Linked DNA regions of Kluyveromyces lactis. The protein of the gene in region 1 binds, or shares a complex with, the protein of each later gene. Links are inferred from orthologs where the notes say so. Each region holds a gene or a part of one and is shown in the gene's direction. Other genes may lie near its edges.

Region 1 (4,960 bases):
AGTGTTCAAAAAAAAAAAGCCTTTGATTTAATCCGAAGAAAAAATATCAAAACCTTTAAAATCTGTATGTTTCCAAAATCTGGATATTCTTTCACTTAACTGAAACTGTTCAATATGAAAAGTTTGAAAATTGATGAATTTGGCCAATTTCCCTACAGCCGTGTGGAAACAATATAATGAAAAACAGAAAAATACACTTAAACTAGAACCACAGTCCGCCTGTGTATTTGGTATGCTATGTGTATTTGTCTGCGCTCTATTTTTTCTAAAGTACTAATCTCTTGTCTGATAGTACTCTAACCTCCTATATATGTGCTTGTTACCGTGTTTGCTGTGTGATCTACAAAAGTGAAAGACAACCACAGCTAAAGATTTCGTTAGTGTAGGTGTAGACTGATGTTATGATTTGGGAATGTGTCATAAGATTCATTTATATATGGTTTAAATAGAAAACGCTCAAGACAGACAAAGCAGAAGTAACTAGAAACAAGAAACAGAGAAGTAGGTGTTTTTGGGTTGGATAGGCATCCGCTATGCCCCGAGAACTAGTTTATCCCACACCAGCTTGACCTGGTGATTCACTTCTACGGAAGAATTTATGTCTTTTACTCGCCAATATTTCTTTTTCTCTTTCTTTTTCGATCAAAATACTAAGTTGTATTTTTTAAAGGACATCAAGTTTCTTGAAAGTTAAGCCAGGTTACAGGACAAATTGGTGACACTTGCAACTGCTGATTATTTATTTCGAGACCCCCTTTCTTTTGAGCGAGTGATTAAATAATATATTGAGGAAGGAGGTAAATAGGTGAGCTGTAAGGAAAGTAACGAACATGGTGGGCAGAATTAGAGGTATGGATGTGGTGATATTTTCGGTCATTTGCGCAATCGGTGTATACACCGGTACACGGTTTTTCGAACCTATCGTAATCGATCAGTTGAAGAAGGATGGGGGTTTGAGAACCGATGTCGAAATTCCAAAGTATGATGAAGATGGTAATCCTGTTTTGCCAAAGAGTATGTTACAAATAAGGGAAGAGTTGGATCAGGTACTAGCGGAGCAAAAACTTGCTAGAGAACAAGCCAAGAAAAAGGACCAGGAATGAGAACGGCTGTTCACCGTTGACAATAGATACGTCGAATACCTCCCCGTCATCCTCTTGTAAATATATACTACTATTTTATTCGGATAGCGCATCTTATGCATATACATATATTATTATGAACCACACCTATTTATCACGTGACTTGTTTGTACCTCCGAAGCTTATTTGATTTCTTTTCCAAGCGAGAAGTACAATTTTTCAAAAGCTCATCGCATCAAAAGTGGTCTTTAGGAACTTGCATTAAGGACTGTAGTCATTGAAACGAAGTAAACGTCTGTCAAGGTGCAAATATTCTGAAACTGCACTCATTGAGTAGTTGGTGGAGTTTCTATCCTTACAAATAGCCGAGAAGTAAAATGGGTAAATCAAAAAGAAGATCTAGAGCTTCTAATGCTCGTGCCAATCCATTGTTGAGAAATGCTGCTAAAGATGATCAAATTAGAACTAAGAGAATTCAACCATTGATAGAACAGTTATCCAGCGTGATTCCAAACGATAGATCTATAGCTTTAGGCACGATTATGGTCTTATGTGAAGATCCTCATATGAGATCTCTTTTCCTAAAGGAAAAATTGGTTAATGTTGTTACATCCAAACTATTGACGGATTCCAATACTGATATCGTGGTAGAATCTTACGGTGTTTTAAGAAATCTAGCACTAGAAGAGGGCTATGATTTAGCAACGCATATTTGGAGATTGAATATTTGGGTGAATATTGAGTCCGGTTTGTCGCAAGTTCAACAGTCACTACAATCAATGAAATCTGATGAGTCTAAAGCTAAAAAGGAATCTAAAAGGCTGTTATACGATTTTGCTGAAAATATCTTATCATTATTAGTGGCATTAGTAAACGGATCGGATGCTATACTTGATGACGTCGTCAAGACAGATAAATTGGATAAAGTGTTCGCTGTTATGACTAATATTTTGAGTTACGGTATGGTAATTTCTGATAATACCGTGACTTTGAAAACAACTACACAGTTATTCAACACTGTCTTGGACCTTATTTATGACATATCTAGTGATTCTTCTGAATTCATCGATAAAGTTTCTGCACATGAATTTCTCTCGCCATTTGTCGAGAATATAATTAATTGGGAGTTTGCCAACGATAACGAGTTAACTAAGGTACTAATACAAGGTATCTACTTACAATTCATGGATACAGACATAAGTTATGACATCGCAGCATCAATAATAACCAAGGTACTACAATCCGTAGAACACATTAATTTAGCTGAGGTAAAATCGACTTTATCGAACAAGACCGAGGATTCTGAATTGATGAAAGAAAGTAATGAAGAAATAACAAAAAAGATTAAAGACTACACTAAGAAAAGGACCGAAGCCATGATCAAATTTCAAAGTATAGAAATCAGTCTTGATGTGATCGCTGCAGCTATTGAATTGATCGGTGCTAAATACGAAGAAAGCCATAAACCTCTTAATGGTTCATTATTACCTGTCCTTACTCAAAATGTTCCTTCTGTATTTTCTGCATTATACACTGATTTCACTTCAAGAGTATTGATTGGATGGAACAATCTTCTATGGCTTTACCTATCTGTCGGGATTAGCTTTTTTGAGTTGGGCAATTACTGGGAGCACCTCTGGTCAGCTATGCAGAATGGTTCTGAAGATAAGGATTTCGGTATTAAAATCGGGAAACTAAGTGTAACCTGGGCATTGTTGAAGAATGTTCAAGCCGTTTTTGGCACCTCTGGTTCTGGTGATTTCTTCCGAGTAGTTCAAATAAACAATCAACAGTTCATTGATTCCATAATTAACGTCTTCAACGAGGGAAAAAGTTTGAATCCTGAAGAAGGTGTGGAGTTGCAACAACGTTGTTGCGGTGTACTAGGTACTCTAGCTGGTTTCCAAAACCAAATTGAACTAAACAAAGCCATAGGTGACTTTTTTATCAATACACTTTCAAGCAAGGAAACAAAAGCACCAGTAGTAGTAGATTTTATGAACACATTCTTTGAAATATACTCAGACATGAACTTTGATTACGATGAACCAGTATTTGTAAACTTGAACTATCTTTCGATACTTCAAACACAGGTTTCATTAAATTTGAAGAATGTTTTCAAGTTTGTTGACAAGAACAAAGATCCTCAACTGAAAGAAAGATGTCAGGATTGCTTTTCTACATTGGATAGTTTTATTGCATACAAACAAAATGAACGTAACAAATAAAACAATAAATATATACAGTCTACACCTGATAATAGTAAAATACAAAATAATTGAATAAATCAAGTATTCATTAGCATTATTCTTGATATTAATTTTAAATTTTACACGAGAACTATACACCTACTGGATCGTTCCATCCTATGATATATCTCTATACAGCCATATAACAATGGTCAACACCGTAGAATAAATCGAGCCATAGAATACAGCAAATTTATTTGATTTGCGCTTTACGCTGGGGAAGGCCCAGGGTTTCCCGCAAGTTGATATCTGCCGTCATCTGCGTATTTGCATTTTCTCTGTCAGTAAATGGTTTACTTCCGAAGTTGTATTATGGAGGTATCACTTGGTATACCTAAGAGCTTGTTCTGAGACTTTCCTCTCATATTCCTTAATGTTTTTCGAGAAAGCTCTCCAAGCTGGCTCTTGCGCAGGTGAGTTAGGGTTCGGAGAATCCAAAAGATCCTGTACACCAAGTAAGAGTTGTTTCAAGGTGATAGCAGGTCTCCAGTCCTGATCTTCGTTCAAGATTGATAAGCAAATGGTTCCACTGGGATAAACATTAGGGTGATAAAATCCTGCTGGAAATTTCACTTTAGGAGGTTTTGACGGATAGTCATCAGGATATTCAATGGTCAAAGGATAAAGACCATTTTTCCAGAGAGTGCCGTCTCTTCCAGGGATACCAGCCTCCCATTTCTGCAAGTTCATAGATCCATCTGTCTTTTTAGTTGGTTTGGCAAAGAACCCATAAGGATGATCTTTTCTCCACTTCTTTCTCTCCTCTTGTAACCTCTGTAGACAAAGACTACTCATGACTGTTTATATTATTCGGCCGTTCTGATCGTCGAGTCGCTTTAATATACAGATACCGTAAATATATTAAGGTACGTTGCGCCCTGTTGTAAATAGAGCCTTAACTCAGATTTACCGTTGTTGAATAATTGGAGGATATGATATTCCGTGCGATACGTCTTTTTGTTTGTGATTTTGAAGATGATTTTGATATTGTAGAAAAAGCATCAATAGTGTTTTGAAGAAAAAGTGATATTTTTCAGAATTGACAGTGACTAAAGAAACCTTAACTGAGGTATAATTAATAGTAAGGGCTACGCACCACCAAAATTTCAACGGATAGTAATCAGATACTTCGACAAACGATGTCAGACAACAAAGTTGACGAATTTGATGATTTGGATGACTATTTAGAGGATCCACGCAAACTGGATGAACAGGAAAAACAAGAAACTGTTCCAAATGAGGCAGTTACTAAGGGTGAGCCTGCTACGCAGAGCGATGATCCAGAAGTAGTCGAGATGATGGAAGATTTGCAGAAACAGTTCCAACAATTGATGCAGCAGGAAGGCGGTGATACTGACCAAGAAATGGTTCAGAATTTCGAGACATTGCTAACTGTACTTGGAGATGCATCGAAGGAGAAAGACCATAACAGTGTAAAACACGTTCAGGAGCAATTGAAGAGCGGTACTGGTTTCAAGAATATCATTTCCAACACCCTAGATAGATTGAAAGAAAATTCTACGAAAGTGGATGAAAGTTTGGAGGAAGAGAAGAAAAATCAGAACTCAGACGATATTCTTTCCCAATTGCTAGATCAACTAGTGGAAAACGGCGATGGCAACGGTACGG
Region 2 (3,691 bases), on another chromosome or scaffold:
CGAATCATAATCCATATTCAAATTCCTTGTGGAATACGTCGGAAGAAAACAGAGAAGCTTTGAAAAGAATAAAAGAAAGCGCTGCTAGCAAACGCACAAGGGAAGATGATTGTTCTGACGATTTGGAGAAACAATCAATTATATGGGAATCCGAACAGGAGCCTCAGAGCAAGAAGACCTATTCTCCATTAGATGTTGAAACGTTTAGTCAAAAAATGAACTTGGATTCAGCAAGACCTGACTCGAAGACTTTATCGTTCATCCAGACTCTTCAAAAGCTTTTAGAGTCTGAGCAACAATACTTCGAAATGTTGAGTCTATGTTTATCAACTTACAAGGAAGAAGCATGCCACAACAAGAAATTTAGGAACAAATTGTTGAATAGAGCTTCAAACGATGAGCTATTGTTGTTTGGGAATTTAGATACGATGGCAGAGTTAAGTAAATTATTCTGCAAAAATTTATCAGAATGCTTGAAAGTGACAGATGCTGGTACTCAGAGCAGGATTTGGAAGGAAATTAAAGGGAGTGACAAGTTATGTCAAATTATACTTGATACTGATTTCTCTACGTTGATAAAATCTCATTTACATAGAATCAAGTCCCCATATCATAGCTACTGCATCTGTCATGAGGAAAGGAAACGATTTCTAGACTCGATCAAATTGCAAAACACGGAAACGTTTTACAAGTGGTACGAGTTATGCTTAAAAAAATCACAATTTGAGAAGTTAGAAGACCTCTTGGAGTTGCCATTGGAGAGGCTAGGCCAATGGGGGTCATTGTTCGAGAACTTATGTTTATTTGGTGACAATTTGCTATCACCAGAACGGTCTGTTCAGATGAATGCGATATCAAAAGAATACATTAGTTATCTAAGGGATCTAAACGATGAACTAAATAATTCCGGACGTGCAAAGGAAAGCATTTTAGGAGAAGAAAATGCGGTGACTCAAGAAAAGGAGAATGACAACATTTCTTCAAAATCTGGATCCCGTGGAGGTTCACAAATTTCCAAATCATCTAGTTTTTATTCAGATATCCCATCATTTACAAGAGTAGAAGAAGAAGTACCACAAGGAGAACCAACAGGCGCGGTCCTCCACAATTCACATTTGAATAGCATCGAAGAAAAAGAAGAATCAAAGTTCAACTCATCGAATTCACTGAAGGACTGCATCAAAGAGTTCAACAACATATATGCCAACCTCCAAAAATGGGATAAAGCTCTGTGCAAGTTGGAATTAGCTAAAGTTTTGGATAGAACTCTGACTATCGCAATCACATGGAAAAATCTAATAGAGTTCGAACCGCCTAATGAAATGTTTCACTCTGGTGATAATGAAAGAACAATATATGGAACATATGTCGAGAAAATCGATAAACAACGTCAACAAGTGATGATCTTACAACTCCAAGATCTCCGCAGGAAAGTTATTAAACCTTTGCAACACCTACTACAACGATTTGCTACCGTGAAGCAAAAGCTGGCAGACAGAAATTCACTGAAGAAAGAGTACATGGCATATCTGCGACAACGCGACACTGAAACCCACGACGCCAAAAAACAAATCCTCGCAAATAGCTTCCAAGATTTACAACATCAACTAGCGGAGTCTTTGCCCATATTCAACGAGTATGCCAGAGAAGCAATCACACTACTCGTGTCTCAGTACACCTTACTGATGATGGAGTACATGCAAATCATATCTGGCGGAGATCAGTTCCTCAACAAAGAATTGGAACTAGTCAATTCGGGACAGCGAGACCTGGGGGATAATTTTGACATTCTCCAGCTGTTCTGCTCTTCTAGGTACTATACGAGGCATGCAATAAGAGAGAACTGGACCTACCACGGTGATCCAAGAGCCAGTAAAGTTGTGAGAAGGTTATTTGAGTTGTGAAATAGATATACATGTTACCCGCACTTTTATTTCTTTTCTGCAATTTTTCACTTAAGAAAAATGCCAAAAAGCTTTACAACTGAGAGATGCCCGATGAGATGAGGTAAAGAAGCGAGAGGTTTGTCTGCTCTACTGTTTGGATACTTCTATATACATTATCTGATTTAAGTCGCCTTGTGTATAAAAGTTCCCTGTTTGATATTACACTCAGCTACTTCAGTTTACGACACACGGAGTATAGAAACCACAAGAATGTCTACAACAAAGTACAGCGAACGCCCAGTAACGGTTGAAAAGGCTATTCCAGTCACATACGATTTGGGTAACCTAGCAGTGTTTGACACAAACGTGTTGGATAGGAACGATTTTGATTCATCCAATGCTGCTCGTGAAAGTAACATAAAAGATTTGACCCGTGATAACGTGCAGTTGTTGATCAACCAGATTCTTTCTCTTCCTATCAGAGCTACCACAGAATCTGCAGGTGGATCCAGTGGACAATCCTCATCTATGACTTTAGTACAGTTACCAGAGCCAACAACAGAGCTACCAAGAGAAAAACCACTACCTAAGCCTAAGGCACCAACTAAATGGGAACAATTTGCTGCCAAGAAGGGTATCAAGCCAAAGGAAAGATCCGGGAAGATGATTTACGACGAGGCAGCTGGTGAATGGGTTCCAAAATGGGGTTACAAAGGTTCCAACAAAGAACTTGACGACCAATGGTTGGTCGAGGTGGACGACAAGGTCCAGGGTACCGAAGACGAGTTGATTGACCCAAGAACTTTGAACAGAGCCGAAAGAAAGAGATTGATAAAGAAGAACCAGTTGCAACAGAAAAGAAACTTGAAGAACCAAGTGAAATAAACGTTACATACTATATAACTGCATTACACACCTTACACTAGGTTACATAAACTGTATAATAGACCAACTTACTCTTTCTCGTATTGACCATTTCACTGCCGTTATCAGGTTCAAAGCCCTCCTACAGCCGGTATTTTTGCGTATACAAAATTTCAACATTATACTTTAAACAAAGTCAGAGCCTCAAAGAATGAGAGAATGAATGGGAATATTATTTGCACAGGGTGCCGGCAGATCACCAGGATCGGAAATGAGTGATCTCAAGAGATATGTTCCTATGATAGATGTACGTTTCCCCCTTTCTTTTTTATCAAGCGAATCGTTTTCGAGCAAGATACTAACTACTTCAAACTATCACATTGATGTGAATATCCATACCAGGCCATCTTAAGCGTGTCAAACCCAGAGGAAGTAAGTGCCAAGAGAATACGGAAAGCGTTACAGGAGTTATTTTCGGTAGATTTGAATTCTCACAAGCATGATTTGAAAGAACTGATCATATCACGGTTCAATCGATTACAAGATTTACAAAGTAAAACCCTAAAACATGAAGAACTGGTGGATTTGGATTCAAAGCTTGCAGTGAAGCTGCATGACGACGAAGTTGCCATGTTAAAACGCCATCGGAGTGGGAAAAAAGAGAAGAAACCTAAAAAGAAGAAGAAGCGGAAGGTGGCTAACGATAATCCGAACAGCATACACTTGAAGAAAGTAGGATTGAGTCCCGAATTACAAGAATTCTTAAAAGTGGAAGAGATGCCCAGAACACAAGTCGTTAAATCTGTTTGGGACTACATTAAGGAGCATGACCTTCAGAACCCGGAGGACCGAAGGGAAATCATATGTGATGATGCCATGAAACCCATTTTTGGTGAGAAGATGACCATGTTCACGTTGAATAAAATACTCTCGAAGCATTT

What was found. Proteins that work in one complex are often made in the same cells at the same time.
Region 2: SYO1 (region 1) and RRS1 share a complex: the UniProt entries of both Saccharomyces cerevisiae proteins name them as parts of the hexameric 5S RNP precursor complex. The link is inferred for Kluyveromyces lactis from reciprocal best matches to the Saccharomyces cerevisiae genes SYO1 and RRS1.

Annotation. Positions count from the first base shown.
Region 1 is NC_006041.1:442,612-447,571, reverse strand, and holds SYO1 (Syo1p), read left to right. Parts: upstream 1-1,459; coding exon 1,460-3,310; downstream 3,311-4,960. Other genes in the region: ECM19 (Ecm19p), read left to right, coding at 831-1,103; E2 SUMO-conjugating protein UBC9, read right to left, coding at 3,653-4,126; PEX19 (Pex19p), read left to right, coding at 4,471-4,960. UniProt on the Saccharomyces cerevisiae protein: Nuclear import adapter that specifically recruits the two functionally and topologically linked ribosomal proteins RPL5 and RPL11 (encoded by RPL11A and RPL11B).
Region 2 is NC_006038.1:1,138,636-1,142,326, reverse strand, and holds RRS1 (ribosome biogenesis protein RRS1), read left to right. Parts: upstream 1-2,156; coding exon 2,157-2,771; downstream 2,772-3,691. Other genes in the region: FUS2 (Fus2p), read left to right, coding at 1-1,904; KLLA0_B13024g (SWIB/MDM2 domain-containing protein), read left to right, coding at 3,381-3,691. UniProt on the Saccharomyces cerevisiae protein: Required for ribosome biogenesis.